Rattus norvegicus: one gene and its partners. The protein of the gene in region 3 purifies or fractionates together with the protein of the main gene of each other region. This does not show direct contact. Links are inferred from orthologs where the notes say so. Each region holds a gene or a part of one and is shown on either strand. Other genes may lie near its edges. The genes, in order: Irf2bpl, Irf2bp1 and Irf2.

The links.
Region 1: the proteins of Irf2 (region 3) and Irf2bpl purify together in Homo sapiens (affinity purification with mass spectrometry; 3 studies listed by BioGRID and IntAct, counting the BioPlex papers as one, with this or other methods). This does not show direct contact. The link is inferred for Rattus norvegicus from reciprocal best matches to the Homo sapiens genes IRF2 and IRF2BPL.
Region 2: the proteins of Irf2 (region 3) and Irf2bp1 purify together in Homo sapiens (affinity purification with mass spectrometry; 4 studies listed by BioGRID and IntAct, counting the BioPlex papers as one, with this or other methods). This does not show direct contact. The link is inferred for Rattus norvegicus from reciprocal best matches to the Homo sapiens genes IRF2 and IRF2BP1.

Annotation. Positions count from the first base shown.
Region 1 is NC_086024.1:112,258,947-112,264,730, forward strand, and holds the start of Irf2bpl (probable E3 ubiquitin-protein ligase IRF2BPL), read right to left. Parts: upstream 3,319-5,784; 5' UTR 2,426-3,318; coding exon 77-2,425; 3' UTR 1-76. UniProt on the Homo sapiens protein: Probable E3 ubiquitin protein ligase involved in the proteasome-mediated ubiquitin-dependent degradation of target proteins. Through the degradation of CTNNB1, functions downstream of FOXF2 to negatively regulate the Wnt signaling pathway.
Region 2 is NC_086019.1:87,778,427-87,784,235, reverse strand, and holds Irf2bp1 (interferon regulatory factor 2-binding protein 1), read right to left. Parts: upstream 3,455-5,809; 5' UTR 3,082-3,454; coding exon 1,327-3,081; 3' UTR 753-1,326; downstream 1-752. UniProt on the Homo sapiens protein: Acts as a transcriptional corepressor in a IRF2-dependent manner; this repression is not mediated by histone deacetylase activities. May act as an E3 ligase towards JDP2, enhancing its polyubiquitination. Represses ATF2-dependent transcriptional activation.
Region 3 is NC_086034.1:52,198,594-52,203,841, forward strand, and holds part of Irf2 (interferon regulatory factor 2), read right to left. Parts: exon of another isoform or gene 2,233-5,248; intron 1,454-2,232; coding exon 1,336-1,453; intron 1-1,335. UniProt on the Homo sapiens protein: Specifically binds to the upstream regulatory region of type I IFN and IFN-inducible MHC class I genes (the interferon consensus sequence (ICS)) and represses those genes. Also acts as an activator for several genes including H4 and IL7.

The DNA of each region.
Region 1 (5,784 bases), on a different chromosome or scaffold from region 3:
GAGGCAGGTGGGGGAAGGGCCCTCCAGACTGAAGAGGAGGTGGTCTAGGGCAAAGGAGGTCGCTGCCCTGCGCGGTTCAAGGGTCTCTCTCTTTTTTCACTTTAACATCCCCAGCTAAGATAGTTGCGATTTCGCCCTGCATGAAGGCCCAAGGTACATTAGACCCGACTAGGGGGCATTTCTCTCCGCTGGGGCAATACACCTCACCTGTGGCCCCCTGGGCTTTGATACTCTCTCTAGAACAAGGGAAACAAAATTTGTGGCTAGGGACGGATGGACACTGAACGAAATGAGTGTCCTCCAAACGTTCGTGGCAAATGGTACAGCAGAGGGGCCCGCTGTTGGCCATAGGGGAATCCGGAATGTTTTGGGGGTGCACTTGGTCCATGCCCGGGTGGGCGCTAGGCGGTGGGGGTGCCACCTGTAAATTCAGGTCCCCATTGCGTGATGCCAGGCGACGCTGCCCCGGCACGGAGGCAGGCGACACCGGGCTGCTGCTGTTTCGCCTAGCAGATGCAGTGGTGGAGTGCACTGAACTGCCATCCTTGGGCGAATGCGCTGTGCCCAAAGTGTCTGCTACTGACATGAGCGCGGCCATGGGGGACGGACCGTTCTGGGGGGCTGACTCGGGCGGGGTGGTCCGATTGGAATGAGGTCCCAGAGGTGGAGGGGGTGGAGGCGGTCCCCCTGCTGCGTGTCCCGGCGCCGCAAAGCCCCCCGCGGACATAGTGAGCTTCAGCGCCTCGCTCTGGTTTGCCATCCACTGCTGCCTCTGCTGCTCCTCACCGAGCTTCAGTGCGCTTTCAGCTGAGTCTGGAGGCTCCGGGGATGCCTTCCTTTTGCGCAGGCTGGCTGCTGCACCCCGGCCCGTGGGCGCCGCGGGTGGCAAGGCTCCAGTTCCTGGAGGTGCGCTGGGGGCGCGGCTGAGACTCACCAGCGCCGTGGGTAGCATGGGACAACTGGCATCTAGGTAGGGCTGGGGCAGCATGTCCGCGCCGGGCACGCCCTCCTTGAAGAAGCGCACAGCTTCGGGCAGTAGGTCCCCAAGAAGGCGCCAGTCGCCAGAGCCATGCTTTTTCTCGTACTCCAGGTATTTGAAGCCAGAGGACAGACCCCGGCCAAAGTCCTTCATGCAATCCTGGTACATCTGTTTGGCCACCCCAGACGCGCTGGAGTACACATTGCCGGAGCCCGTGGGATACTCAATGAACAGCTTCAGCTCGTAGTCCATGCCGGGCTTAGAGACCGCGTCGAAGGCAAAGACACGACCCAACAGCGAATGGTCCTTCTTGAAGCGCACCTCGTAGGGCGTGCAGCCAGCCAGCGTGAGCAGCGTGTCACGGACCATCTTGGGCTTGTTAGCCCACTCCTCCGCGCGGTTGCGCAGGCTCTCGCTCAGCTCGGCCAAGGCCTCAGCGTTGCGCTGCTTTTCCTTTAGCTCACGCTCCTGGTCTGTGCTCGACACCGATCCAGGCCTCTTACCAGCAGCACCCACGCCCACCTCTGCCACTGTCGACGAGGTCGATGACGGAGCAGAGGATACAGTGGCCGACACACCCGGGGGACCCCCGAGACAGGCGGGCCCCCCAGGAGCACCCGGAGGTGCTGGAGTCGGGGGCCCTCGGCTTCCCCCCAGCCCATGGGGCGGAGGCAGTACCGCGGCGCTGGCCGGGCCATTAAGCAGCGTCTGCGGCAATAGGTTGGGGGGCACGGTGAGCTGGGGTCCCCCGCCACCACCCGGGTTGGGCAGCCCGGTCACCAGCCCACTATGAGTCCCACGCCGAGAAGCCACCGATGTTGCCGCTGAGGATGAGTTGGGGCTCTGGCGGTTCAGCTCCGGGGGACCCTCCTCTGGTGCCGGCTTGGGGAAGCCGTTGGGACCTCCCAGGCCGTTGGGCAGCCGGGCGGCGTGGCTGCTGCTCCCCAGACTCACCGGGGGAGGCGGGTACTCGAAACGGCTGCGTTGTTCAACCGCGGCGGCGGCGGCAGCAGCCGCGGCGGCCGCTGCGCTCAGGCCATAGCGCTCCAGACCGGACGGGGCGGGCAACACTGCAGGCTTGGTAGAGCCATCGACGTGGTTGAGCTGCTGTGGCTGCTGCTGCTGCTGCTGCTGCTGTTGTTGTTGCTGCTGCTGTTGCTGAGCGGCGGCAGCTGCTGCTGCCGCTTCCTTGGCGGACAAGGCCACTGTCTTGACCCCGACTGGCGGCGGCGGCCCGGGGGAGCGGCCGTCTTGGAAGCAACCGTGCGCCCGCTTCAGCTGGCGTGCTGTCTCGATCACGAATTCTATGCGGTCGGCGCCTTCGTAATTGACGCAACCACGGCATACGGGTTCGGAGAAGTCCCAGATCATGGCCCAGGGCATGCGAGGCAGGTCGCACAGGTAGCAAGACTGTCTCCGGGACGAGGACACCTGCGCCGCCGACATGATGCCAGCCTCGGGGAAGGTAGGCCCCCGCCCGGGCTGTCTCCGCGGCGCTTTCTCCTTCGGGAGGACTAGCTGGCTGGGGAAGGAGTCCGGCTGCGGGGGAGGGGAGAGGAGGGGGGCGAGAAAGTTCTGCCCCAGGGGCTGGAGGGAGCGCGAGTCTCCACTGCCGGCGCAGTAGTGCCTCTCGGCGGGGGCTCCACCGCCCAGGCGACCGACGGGTTCCGCACGCTCCTCGCCCCCACCTCCTACTGCGGCTGTCTTGTCCAGAGCAGAGCACCGGGTGCCTTCTTCCTGGTGCGGCGGATCAGGGCTGCGAGCTCCGGGCCTGGGGGGAGGGGGCTAGGGTGTCCGGGGCCGACCGCCAGTGGCCTCTTGGCCCCCTCCCCGGAGTGATTGAAGCGTGGAACGCGAAGGGGGTCCTCCCTACGATCTGAGTCTTCTCTACGCCAGGCGCCCCGGGGAGAGGGTTAGAAGGTTTTGCCACCCGGTGCCCAGGTCCAATCTTGCTGAAGCCGCTGATTCCCCGGGAGGGCCGGGGGAGGAGGTGGCTGCCAAAAGAGGAGCGTTTCCCTTCCGCAGCGACGGCCGTTGCGCTGGCGGCGCCTGGGTTTGCACGCCGGAGAGAGCAGCTGCGGCCACCGTTTCCAAGACACACGAGAGCAGAGGAGAGGAGCGCACGCACGCAGGCTCCCACCACCCCCTGGCCTGACCACCTCTCCGGCCACAGAGGCTGGCGGCGCTCACGTTGGCTGCAGGGCGCTCGCTCGGCGCCTCCACCCGGGTCGCATCCCTTCCCGCTCGCGCTCGCCTGGAATGTGGGGTTGTGATTGTTACTCTACGTTCCGGAGGCGCGTCTCAGCGCTCCTGCTCCGGCTGCGGCTCGCGCTGTCCCCGGCTTGGCCGCGCGGGATGCCGCCCGGGCGGAGCGCTGACGTCACCACCATGCTCTGCACCAGTCCCCCAGCCCCCCCTTTACACTTCCTCTGTCTGTGGAGCCCACTTGTTGCTTGCGAAAGGCGCATGCGCGGCAGCATGCCCAGATTCCTCCCTGTCGGCCCCTCCTCCGCGCCTCCACCCTCCCTCCCCTCCCCCCTCGGCTGTGTGTGTACCACAGCTGAGGCCCGGGGAGCTAAAGCTGCAAGTCCAGGGTTTGGGTGCCGGGGAGGGGGGGTTCCGGGCGAGGAGGCGGGATGAAACAGGCGATGACCTTTCCTTTTCCTGCCTGGCTTTCCCAAGTAACAAAACATTTAAGAGCCACGAGTGTTGTTTCCGATTCCCGTTCCCCACCCCACCAAACCCCCAGGCAGTAAAATTAAATGCCCTGTTTGACGAGTTTCACTTTGAATTTCATATAAGGGTATTACCTATTTAATCTGCGACGAGAGCTCCCTCCCCCGTTAATGTTAACATTCCTTGCCACCATTGGTGCCCAAACACCTGCAGAATTAGCATTTCTCCCATCTTCAAGAAATTACCTTTCAGATTTGCTTTTGCGACCCAGCCTAAGAATGGAATAGGAGTTGTGAGACTATCACTAAATGAGCCACCCCTCTCCCTGGCCGAACTTTATAAAATATTTTGACTGAATGTCTAAAGAAGCTCGGATCACTCGGAGGTCTTCTGAATACAGCTGCAGAGGAGGGCAGGGAAGGGGGAGTGAGGAATTGGTCAAACAGGTGAGTGGTTTTCTGGGTTTCATAAAGGCGGGGAGGGGCATTTAATAACACTGTGTGCTAGAGTTTGGGACATAGCTCATCGAGGGAGCGCTTGTTCAGGATGACCCAGGCTCAGAACACTATCCTCAGAATCGTAAACAAATAAAGCACAGTTTTCAAAGTTCCTTCTGTGTGTTGTGATTTAATTCCACACTGTCCCGGTGCACTCTGGGAGGTCATGATTTCTTCTCCCTCCTAAGATCACTGCCCATCCTTATTGCTTACTGTAAAAACTGATAGAGTTGGTCTTAGCTCTGGCTGGGGCATGTTACTTGGTTTCCCTATTTATTGAGTTTGCTTTTTTCTTACGTAAATTAACATAATCCCTGTGGAAGGTTGGTGGAGGGGAGGGGATTTGATAAGGCTGGGTTTGCCCTACAGGATTGGAATTTCTTCACTATTGCTACCGGCTTTGTAACCTTGAGCTCTGCTTATATAATATTTTCCCTCTGCAAAATGGAATCATCTCTGTCAGCTTGATGGGTTGTCGATTTCAGGTTGTGCCTTGTGCTTGTGACAGGTTACTCTAAGACAGGTACAAAGATGGGCATTGGAAAAGTAGTTCCTTTGCTTCAGCTAATTATTTTTATTATAATGTAGATACATGGGTTGGAGAGATGGCTCAGTGGTTAAGAGCACTGACTGATCTTCCAGAGGTCCTGAGTTCAAATCCCAGCAACCCCATGGTGGCTCACAACCATCTGTAATGGGATCTGATGACCTCTTCTGGGGTGTCTGAAGACTGCTACAGTGTATTTATATATAATAAGTAAATTTTTTTTAAAAAGTAGATACATTATATAAAACGGCATTTACATTATTAAACCCAGAATGTCTTCTATGAAGTGAAGTAGATTCCACTCCATTTTACAGACTAGGAAAATAGACTGAACTTACTGCAGCAGCTGGCCTGGGGTCTGAATCCAGCACGTTTGGTTTAAGTGGTGGGGGTGCACACAAGCACATCTCCAAGAGATGGTGCAGGGGGCTGAGATTTTTTTCCATCAGAATCCCATTTTTTGTTATACAACCTTGTATATAAAGTACTATGCAAATCACCTTCATAATGAGCCCGAGGATCCCCTTCCAGACTGTACTACTGAGTTCTTCCACACAGAGAAGCTGTGACGGTGCCGTTTGGCAGACTGAGGCATAAATGAACCATATAGTATGAAGACCACATTACCGCATTCACAGTTGGGCACCAGTGTTGGTGATATTGATACTGTCACTGGCTAACCTGTGAAAATATTAATGAGTGCGAGGCATGGTGATCATTATTTATGACCACTATTACAGCCGGCTGAAGCAACAACAAATACTTTTATTTTGACATTTGATCTCCAGAAGCTGTTTGGCGTTTTCCCAGCATGGAGATCTTCATCCTGGGTTCTAAGTGCAAAGGCAGGTGGAGCTTTCGTGGAGAAGGGAGCACATAGGGAGTCGTTCTTTCATCTCAGAGCAACCCAGTTTCTGTTTTTGCAAAAACAGTGAGCTCACTGTGTGCTCCAGGGCAATAATAAACTTTGCCTGGCTGGCTTGGAGCAGAGTCCTGTGTGTAGAGCTTCTCAGTGAGTGTCTCCTCTCCGCACCCTGGCTGCCTTGGAGCAGAGTCCTGTGTGTAGAGCTTCTCAGTGAGTGTCT
Region 2 (5,809 bases), on a different chromosome or scaffold from region 3:
TGGGGTGGGGGAAATGTTACTCAGGGTCCTGCAGATGGCATTTGTCTTCAGGTGAACGAGGGGCACACAGGTAGTGAGGGTTCATGTTCAGGTGAGCAGACACCTGAGAAGGAGATCAGGAATACCCTTGGGTCTCAGGGCTCACTTAACATTTACTGTCCTGTTGGCTCAGCTTTTCATCCCTTCCACGAATTAGGGTCTCAAGTAAGGGCTGGAACATGGTTCCTGGGGCCGCCCCCTCCTTTTAACCCCTGTTTTGCCATAGCCTGCCTAGGCCCCAGACCCCGCCCCATGACGCCAGCCAGCAGGAAATCCTGGTTAATGATCAGTCACCCAGGACAGGTGCGGGACAAGGCCGCACACACATCAGAAGCAGCCGCGGCGGGTGGGAGCCTTTTACTTAGCTCCTAGGTGTTCTAGGGTGATAGCCACTGTTCCCAGATGAAGGGCATGAGCCCAGTTCAGGTTTCTCAGGTGTGTCCATCTCTCTGGCACCATATGAAGCAAGAAGGCATCATCCTGCTTCCATATACGTTTACTCAGGGAGGTTCAACTTACTCTTTCTGTGGACAGTTCCCCTAGAACTATTTTCAAGTAAACTACTTGGAGAAAGCCTCCTACTTCCTTTCCCTCTGACGTCTCAGCATTCAGAGTGCTGGCTACAACGCAAACCTATTCCCCAGTTTCTTTGTGAGCGCCGTGCAGGAGCTGAACCCTGTCAGAATCTCAGTACCATCGTCTGCAAAACCGGCCTCGACTACACCTTTTAATCAGAGCACAGCAAATGTACACTACTACAAACAGCCGCCCACTGGACAAAAGGCGCCACCTAGTGGTCACAACGCAGAAGTCCTCTCTCTTAGGACAAGTCCAATCCCGAAGGGGGCGCAGCATCTCATAAAACTAAAGGGACCAAGAAGGGGGAAAAAAAACAACCCATCTCTCAGTTTATTGAAGGAAAAAAAGGGTGGGAGAAGGGAACAATAAAATGCTTTTGCTTCGTTTATAAAGAGCGAGTTCTCAGGAGGTCCCTTTCAAGGACAAGCGGGGTACCTCTTCCCCCAACTACCAACAGCAGGAAAGCCAAGCCAAGAAAGGAGAAAGAAACTGGAGGGGCCCAGGAACTCCAAACACCCGCTCTGACAGGAGCCACAAGCTCTCTCCCCCCACCCACAATGTATCTACCCCAGGGGACCCATCTGGGCAGAGGAAAGGGTATCTACACAGGTTAGGGTGGTACTGGGCTGGGTGGGGTAGGGAATAATTTATCCGCAGTCGCGGAGGATGGTTAAGGGGGAGGGGAAGCAGCCTGACGGCAGTGGCAACCTAGGGGTCCCTTTCTTTCTTGACCTTGATGTCACCAGCAAGGATGGTAGCGATCTCGCCCTGCATGAAGGCCCAGGGGACAGAGGAACCCACCAGTGGGCATTTGTCTCCACTGGGGCAGTACACCTCTCCAGCTGGACCCTGTGCCTTGATGAACTCTCGGGAGCAAGGAAAGCAGAACTTGTGTCCAGGTACCGAGGGACACTGCACGAAGTGGGTGTCTTCCAGCCTTTCTCTGCACAGGGTACAGCACAAGGGGGCTCCAGGGGTCGCCCCTGTGCCGCTACCACCCCCGCTGACAGCTTCAGCCCCGGCCGTGGGACTGACTTCTGCCTCTCCATTGCGTGCCACTAGACGATGCTGGGTTGGTGGCTGGGTCGTGGAGGAAGCTGCAGGGCTAGCACCCCCTGCACGGACAGAGCCTCCACCCCCACCAGGGTCCTTGGGTGAGTGGCCCAGAGCCTCCGCCACATTCTTAAGGGCAGCAATAGGTGAAGGCACACCAGGGGTCTCTGTAGAGTATGGACCGCCTGGTGCCACCCAGTGCCGCTGTTGCTGCTCCTCCGTGGTCATCTTCCCAGCTGTCTCGCCCTCGGGCTCAGGGGATGCTTTGCGACGTCGTGGTGTGGGTGCCAGGTTCCGGGATGGGGCTCTCGGTGGTGGGCCACACAGAGCAGCAGGGGCCGGTTCTGGGTACTGCTGGGGCAGGGCCTCCGCAGGAGCAGGCTCTCGGAAGCTTCGGACCCCATCGGTAAGTAGCTCTCCCAACTGGCGCCATTCCCCTGAGCCGTGGCGGCGTTCATATTCGAGGTACTTGAAGCCCGATGAGGCCAGGGCCTTCCCTGGCTCTCGAAGAGCATCATGAAACATCTGGCGAGCCACTGCAAGGACCCCCGCGTACACATTGCCAGAACCACAGGGATACTCGGTGAAGAGCTTCAGCTCAAACTCATAGCCAGGAGGGCGGGCAGTGGCATCAAAGGCAAATACCCGTCCCACCAGCCCATGGTCCTTCTTGAATCGGACATTGAAAGGGGCACAGGCGGACAGCGCCAGTAGCTGTTCCCTTACAGCCTTGGGACGCCCATGCCACTCCTCCGCCCGGCCCCGCATGGCCTCGTTCAGTTCTGCCAAACAGTCCGCATTCCTCTGCTGCTTCTCCTTCTCGAAATCGGAGCCGAAAAGTGGACGAGCGGGGCTTAAGCCAGGTGCCAGCGTCAGAGCTCGGCCTCCGAGGCCAGACACTGCAGCTGCCAGCAGCCCGGGGGGCATCAGGCTGGGGATGGAGCCAAGCAAAGCCCTGCGTGCCCCTTCCGCCACAGCCTCCTCCCGGCCCAGCCCGTTGGCCAAGCGGGACCCCAGGGTGTACTCCAAAGCCGGCGAAGGCAGCGCCAGGCGGCTGGATGAAGTAGCCCTGTCATAGCGGTCCGGGCCTGAGACGCTACCTCCGGTCCCCGATGGCTGCGCCTGGGCCTGCGGGGGTGGCAACTGGGAGCCCTGGGAGCCCGTGGAGGCCAGGTCCTTGGAGGTCGGGTGCTTGAGAGCCGGGGGTCCCGGCGAGCGGCCCTCGGGGAGCACGTGGCTGCGCTTGAGCTGGCGGGCAGCGTCGATGAGCAGCTCGATGCGGTCCGCGCCCTCGAAATTCACGCACCCGCGGCACACGGCCTCGCTGAAGTCCCACACCATGGCCCACGGCATCTTGGGCAGGTCGCACAGGTAGCACCACTGGCGGCGGGACGCTTGCACGGACGCCATGGCGCCCCCCGGAGCGCCGCCAGGTGCCCCCGCTGTGCACCCGCCGCCCACGTTCACTCCGCCGTGCCCCGGGACCGGCGCGCGAGCCGCTCAGTCGGGCCTCCGGCTCGGCCTCCCCGCCGGATTCAGGCCCGGCCCCCCTTCCCCGCCCCCTGGGCCCTCAGCCTTTTTTTTTTTTTTTCTCACTCCCGCCTCCGGTGGAGAAGGCAAGCCACGAGCACGCACGTCGGCGCCCCCGTCCGGTCCGCGCCGCGAGCCGAGATGCACAGCTCCAGCTCCTGAATGGGCCTCGGGCGCCGCCGCCCCAGGCTCCCGCCGCTTCGCTCGCGCCGCCGCCGACGCCGCTGCAACGGCCGCCGTCGCCTCCTCCTCCTTCTTCTGCCCCAGAGGCCGCTTCGCAGGGAAAGTTACATAACGCGCGGGCAAAGCCTTCTGGGAAATGTAGTCCCGTCGGGACTGCTTCTTAAAGGGGACTGGGCAGAAAGCAGTGGCGGGAAAAGAGGGCGCGCGCTGGTCTCTGTGAGCTTAATTCTCACTGTGCCTCGACAAAAAGCCGGGGTTTGCACACAGGATCCAGGAAATGGGTAATGGTCTCATAAATGCTCGAGGTGGTTAAGTTGCAGGGCATGCAATTTTCCCCATTTTTTCTTGAGACTTGGATTTATTCCTTAGCTCAGGCTGGCCTAGAAGGCTAGCCTATGTAGCCTAGGCTGGCCTCATTCTTGCTGCAATCTCCCTGCTTCAGCCTTCTCGGTGGGTTTACAGGCCTGGGACCATACCCAGATCTCGGAAAGCAGTTTCTACTCTGATTTGCTGAGCAGGTTTAGAAAAGAGTCTTGCCCTCTCTTAGAATCCCGCCTCTTCGAGAAGGGCCAATAACGGGTTAGGAAGGCCGCAGCATTTTGGGATGGGGCGGAGAGGTTCTGATTGGACGGTTTCAAGGGGATGGTTCAGGCTACTCTCTTTGAGAGTGGCGTCTACTTAGCAGTTTGTCCTCCCACCCACTCCCCAGTGTCTTAGGTAACTAGCCTCAAGGGCTCCCCACAGGCAACAAGATGAGAAGACTGTAAGCTTCCGAGCCAGGTGCCTGCCTTAGTTTTCTCATCTGCTAAAGAATGTTCACTGAGCCTCCTAGTTCTGCTCCAGGTGCGCACGTACTTTGGTCTCTAAAGGGTTACACAGCTGGCTTCTCAGTACATCCCCAATTTCACTACAATTCCCAAAATGCTCTGCGAGATGGACGCAGTGACGTACTTCCTCTGCCTGGAAGCTTAGGGGAGGCCTTCCCAATCCTTGCCCCCCCCCCCCTTACTAGCAGGGAATTTCGCTCCCCGCCCCCCATTGGGGGCTGGGGTCGGGGGCTCTTATTACTCGTAGATTTGGAATGAAGGAGCCAAGAGTTGATTGCTGGGAAGGGCAACACCAAACCTCCAAGTGCTTAATGGCCTGGTGGGCCCAATCTGGCTCTGGGCACCCCATATTTTCTCTTCGTATTTTTTTGTAGTGTGGGGGTGGGGGAGGGAGAAGCGATGTATGTCTCCAGGTCCTAGCTCACATCAGCCCTTTCGCCTCATTCGGCCTGGGCCCCCACTGGTGCTCTCAAAACATTTTTTTTTTTTTCTGAATGTCTTGTCAGTTTGCATTCTTCCAGGTTTCCACATAGTGGAGGCTTGGCGGTTTTCTCACCCCCACCCCAGAGTAGTCACAGCAGCCCAGGCTTTCTATTTCAGCGTTACAATTTTACCTACCACCTGCATTACTATTTTAACACTCCTCCCTTAAACAAATTGCCTATTTTTGTCGTTTCCTGGGAGATACTATGTTCGCAACCATTGGTTTCGTGTACTACTGTTTATTTACTTTCTCTTGCTTATACGTGGTGCTGGGATGGAATCCAGGGCTTTATGCTAAGTGCTCTACTACTGAGATGTGCTAGTAGCCTGTATTTTTATTTTGAAACTGAGCCTTACTAGGTGGCCCAGGCTGGCTCAGGATTTCTCCTTCCTCAACCTCCTGGAGGCTGAGATTTCAAAAGTACATTAACCATGCCTGGATTTATTTATTGTTTTCTTTTTCTAGAGACAGGTCTCTGAAGCACAGGTTAGCCTTGAACTCGAAGCAAGCTTTCTTAGTACTGGAACTGCACATGTGAGCCACAATCCCTTAGCTCTTTAAGGCTGTTTAAGCCTGTTTCTTGTTCCGTACACTCCTAGGGTCTGACCCTCAGGCAGGCTATCTGTCCTTGCCTGAGTTAACCACCCAAGTTGCTGTATTGAACTTCTAACAGACCTAGATAAACTCCAATTCAATCCTGTTTGTAACGTTCTTTGGAGATTTTTTTTTTTAAATACAGGGTAACAGGCTGCTGAAGTAACTGGTGGGATTGCAACCTTCAGTGTGTACTTCTACACCAGGGTTAGTTAAAGCTTTTAGGGGGAAAATCACCTGCCTCAGGTTCAGGAGGCATATCCTCCGGGAGGGTGTGGCCTACCAGGGGAGGGGTGGAGCAATCCTAAACGCTGGCCTCCCAAGGCCCGTCTCAGAGCCTCAAGTTAATTGTATGAAAATAAGTTTATTGACATCTTGTCAGCACTGAAGAGAAAGGGGGGAGGGGCTGAGCTCCAGAGGTCAGACACACCTTGCAGCCGTGGGAGGCAGAGGACCCAACCTATACCTCCCCAGTCAGAATTCTGCTGCCTCCTCCTCAGAATCCTCCACCTTCTACATT
Region 3 (5,248 bases):
CTCTAGAGGAACGGAACCAATCTCTATAAAGATATGTATCAATAGAATATATGTACATATACATATACAGACATATATATGTATATACACACATATAATGAGGATTTTAGAGTGGCTTATAGGCTGTGGTCCAGCTACTTTGACAATGTCTGTCCACCAATGAAAAGTCCAACAATTCTGTAGCTGTTCAGCCCATAAGCCTGGATGTCTCCGCTGGTCTTCAGATATGCCAGAATCCTGAAGAAGTAGGCTCTAATGCCAGTGAAGGAATGGAACTGCCAAATGAGGGGGAGGGCAAGCAAGTAAAACTAAAAAATCTTCCTCCTTCTGTGGCCTCTACATAAGCTGCCAGCAGAAGGCGTGGCCCAGTTTAAAGGTGCACTGTCCCACCTCACTCGATCTGGATTAAAAGTGGGTCCTCTCACTTTAAATGATTTAATTAAGGAAAAGAAATTCCTCACAGGTGTGCCCAGCTGCTTGGGTTTTAATTAATTCCAGATGTGGTCAAGCTGACAACCAGGAACAGACATCAGAGAACCTCTGCCTCTGAGGGGACCTCATGAGCAGTCACCACACTTCCGACACTATGCACCACTGGCTGCTTTCTGGTCCTTCAGATGCTTTCTACAGGATTTCTGTCAGCATTATGCCTGCCACCACATGTCACCTGCTGCACCTCACACAGGCACTATCCAGGGAGATCACTCTTCTGAGGACACCTGCCCTACCATGCAGGTTACTCCTAGTCACCCGTTCTCTTCCTTTGTATCACAGACTACAAATGGGGTGCTATGCTTATCTGTGGCTTTGCCTGTTACTGGATCCCCACAAAACTAGGAATAGGGCCCAGCATGTTCCCTATTTACTTCATGCCCAGAACTGCATTTGATGGTGGGAAAGTCTCTGCAAATCTATTGAGCCAGTCAGTCCTCTGACAGAAGGGTTCTGTGCCTCACTTTCTTGGCCTGTAAAATGAGTGCTACCTCTGGGTAGATGTACACAAGGCCAGTGCCGAGGGGACCCACAGGGATGGCCTTTCCTCTCCTTGGTTCCCAAGTTAAACAAATGACATTTTGGCTGACAGTGATTGATAAAGAACTGCTAACCACTATCCACCGGAGAGGAAGCTCGAATGCCTAGCCATCTTTTCTCTGACTCCTCTACAAGCCTTCATCTCATTATTGAAATCCTGAGACCTAGGGGCCAGAGCTGGAATTTGAACACGTTCCAAGACCTCCTCTTACTGGCTGTGTTATTTTGAGATTACTGTTTTTACAAAGTTTAGACCTCGGAGGCTGCTCGTGAGTATAAAAAGAAGATGTCAAAACAGTTTACCTATGATGTTCACCGTACTATCCACTTCATTTTTTATAGCTGAAGTCAGGACCGCATACTCAGGAGAAAAGCCACTTACTCCATTACTAAGCCCCAAAGATGACTCAACTGGTTCTTGCTAGGAAGAAGAAAAGAAAAAGGCATTGAGAACACTTCCTTCCTCTCCCCTTTCTTAGCTTCAACTCTCCCCCTGTCTAACTGGTTGAATCCTGGGGTTATTCATTCACGTCATGTCCCAAATGCATCCCCTGTCTCTTTAAATCAGCCTGACATTAAAGAAGCTAGCTATTTGGTTTCTTTCATTTTTCCTTCAAGGAAATGGTCTCAGCACATCTGGCTTGCCCTCAGGAAATACCTGCAGCTGCAGATACACAGAAGACTGTTCTGTGGTTGGATGGGGCTTGCAGCTCTGTGACATGAGTCCCTGCATGGGAGCCTTCTCCTCTGAGGGAGCACTCAGGAGGACCTGCTCCTGGATTCCTGCGGAGAAGGCTGGCCTCTGCATGAGCCAGTGACGGGAGCTCAGAGGAAGGTGGGAGTGAGCACTCGGGCACACTTTGTGATATGGTCACTTGAGCCCACTGCACTGCTGGTTCAATGATAACATGAGCTAAGTCTCCCCTCACTGGCCTACCACCAGATAGGTACTCCCACCTCCATAGCTTCAGATTAGGGCTTTTCTTGTGCCTGAAACTCCCACCCAGCCCAAGGGGCTGCACAGTGACACTGACTACGTCAATGTCATTCCTTCCCTTGTTTTAACTTTATATCTCTTTTTCGTTCAAGTGTACTTGAACCCTCCACTCTCTGAGAGTACCAAGCAATCAAGGAAAGCCAGTCCTGAAGTACGCTTGACTCTCAGAACTTTGATGAGGGTACTTCCTACATTTGTTTCAGAGATAGCAACAAGCCAGACAAAAGCCGCATAGTGGGACAACTCCGGGGGAATCCAAAATGGAAGAAGAAGCTGGAGGAGGAGAGTGGAAAGAGGGCTGCGAGCAGACGAGCATTGTGGGTAAAGTGGTAAAGTCAGGCATTCTAAGGCATACTGGGCATTCTTATCAACTGGTCACACTGGGGAATAAGATCAAACTCTGTACAAGTCTCATGATCCTCTGGCAAACTCCCTTGATCATTCTGTCTGAAGGGCATCACCTTGAGGTTCAGCTCAGCTTAAGGAAAACAAAACAAACAAATGAAAATCCTCACTGTAGGGTTTACCCAGAAGACCCCAGGGCAGGCCCACTGAGCAGAAATTGTACCCCTTTCTCTGATAGTGTCTTGTATTTTCTCTCTTAGCATCTTGTAAGTTCCAATAGAAGGCTTGTTCTTTCAGGGAGAGGGGGAGGAACCTTATCAGTTTTCCTTCCTTTATGGTCAAACATCTAAGCAAATGCCTGCCTTTGCTAACCCCACCTTCTCATGCACACCCTTAGGAAGGCCTATAGTCCTATCTCGCCCCCATCTGCAGAAGACACGCTAAGAGGACTCTGGAATCAGACCAGGTGACCAAGCCTGGCTCCTGTACGTCTCACTGGCTGAATTTAACCCTTGAATCCCCTCTTCAACCGTCTTAGTCATGTGCGAGCTGAGAATGGTAATGGAAACCATGCCAAGGGTTGAATAGAAACTTAAAGGAGATGAATATCGACAAGGCAAGGCGTTTATTCTTAAATAACATTTGCTACCATCAAAGGTCACCAATAAAACTGTTCTTACCAAATCCAAGGGCCCTTTCTCAAGTCCCTTCCCCTAAGCTCCATCCTCAGGACTTTGCCTCCCTCTTGACAGCCTGAATCACACGCAGCTACTGCGCATGTGCACCTCACCGTAGCGCCATCTTTTCTCCATGGCTCTCTCAATGGCCCCTGTTCCGTTTTCCCCTCCTCAATCATTTTCCACGGTCTACTTATGTACGTCATTTCGTCAGTTCCTCCCTAAGAAACTAAGTACAGATCTCTAAACAAAGGACAGGAAGAACTGCTGCACATTCCCTTTTTGTTTCCTTTTTTTTTTAAAGTCATTCTATTTTTAGATTTCTTATCAAAGTAATAAAACAACCAGGTTTGCATTATTCAAAAATTGAATTATTCTGACTTTGCAACAGAGACCTCTAAGTGTTTCACATGATCTGCAGTTTAACTACTGGTGACAAATGATCCTTTTGTCACTTTTTGTGAGAGAAAAATTATGAGTCACTACGTTAGTTTTCCAAGTTCATGCTACTTTTAGCCTGGTGTGATGCAGGAACTGAGCCCAGCCTTTGCTTGTGCTGTATGTTCAAATGCAGGAGCCTCGTCTTCTGCACCCATCCAGATGGAGAACAGGATGGATGGGGTGGGCTGCTGCTTCTCTCTGGTATCCTGCCTGGGGCAGAACATTCCTCTAATGGCTATTGAAAGACTAATTGGAACTTGTCTTACTCCTCCTACAACCAGTCTGGGAAAACTCTCATTGGTTCTGTCACCCCAGAGCTCCTGTTCTCAACCTGTGGGTCACGACCCACCTGGGGAGGTCAACGATCCCTTCCCGTGGTTGGCTATTAGATATTCTGCATATCGGATGCTTACATTACGGTTCATAAAATTAGCAAAGTTGAAGTTATGAAGCAGCAATGAAAATAATTTCACCACAACATGAAGAACTGGTCACGGCCCTAGGAAGGTGGAGAACCACTACACCAGTGAACAAGATGGTAACTTGTAGAACATTATGTGCTGGGCAGAATCCTGACAAGCCTCCTTCCAAGTGGGCCCAGGAGAGAAGCTTCTCTAAGGACTCAACCAAAACTTCTGAAATAATTAGAAATGGGTTATCAAAAGCTAAGAGGTCAAAAAACAAGAATAAAAGAGGTGAGGGGTTCTCTGACTTCCACTATGTACACTATATACTGTGCATATGCATACACACAGGCACACAAATAGATATTAAGTAATGTAATGCAAACGACTTTACAAAAACCCTAAATAACATTTAAAACCCAAACTGGAAAGAGGTGTTGGTTCTCTGTGAACAGGCGCAGAGATGGTGTAAAAGATGGATGGCCTGTCCTGGTCATCTCTGGTGGCCCACTGCTGCTGTATCAACTCTCCCTCACTCGCCCAGTCCAGTGAGTCCTGAGCATGTTAGAGGTGCTCTTACAAGTCAGCTTACCTGAGACTGCCTAGGCTTCTCAGCCTCTTGCCTCACTCCAGCAAAAACCAACAAACAACTCTCAGGCAGATGCCTCTGCAGTGCCTCTAACCCTGCCAACTATTTAGGCTCAAAGACATCTTCTGTAATTACAGAAGATCTGGTATAACTTAAAGAATTTTTAAGTAAAAGGAAACAGACACTGTAGAGAGTTTTAAGGGTGAGTGGAGGCTACCCTTAACACCGGTAAAACAGGCTCACTTTGGTTGGTCTCTGGCCTTGGCTTGTTAGATGAGTTTGCCATATAGTGTGGCTTGTGAGATAAAGCATCCGAGGAGCCAGCATCAGAGGAGCCCGTGGTGGGACACCTTACCCCTCTGCTCCAAGTCCCTTCTGTCTCACTGCTATGATAAAGCACTCTGTCTAGATCTGTCCTCCCAGGGCCCAGTGGAATGGCCTTCAGAAAGTTTTCCACCCCTACCGACCTCTTATCTCAAAATGCTCTCTCAAAGTCAATTTGAGGGCCTCAGATTTAAGGGTACCTCCTCTAGGTCTCTGTTAAAAGGGCCAAGCTGAGCTTCCTAAACAAAGGCAAGAACCTCCCAGGGTGCAGAGACCCACCTCAGCCTCACAGAGAACAAAAGCTGCCTGCCACATGGCCTCCAGCCTACCCTCACCTTTCCTACCCTGAGGCAAGGCTGTCTTTACTCATCTCTGTCTGACCAGCTTCCCCATAGCTCATTCTTCTCCCTTTTCTTTCCCTTCACCTCAGAGAATTTCT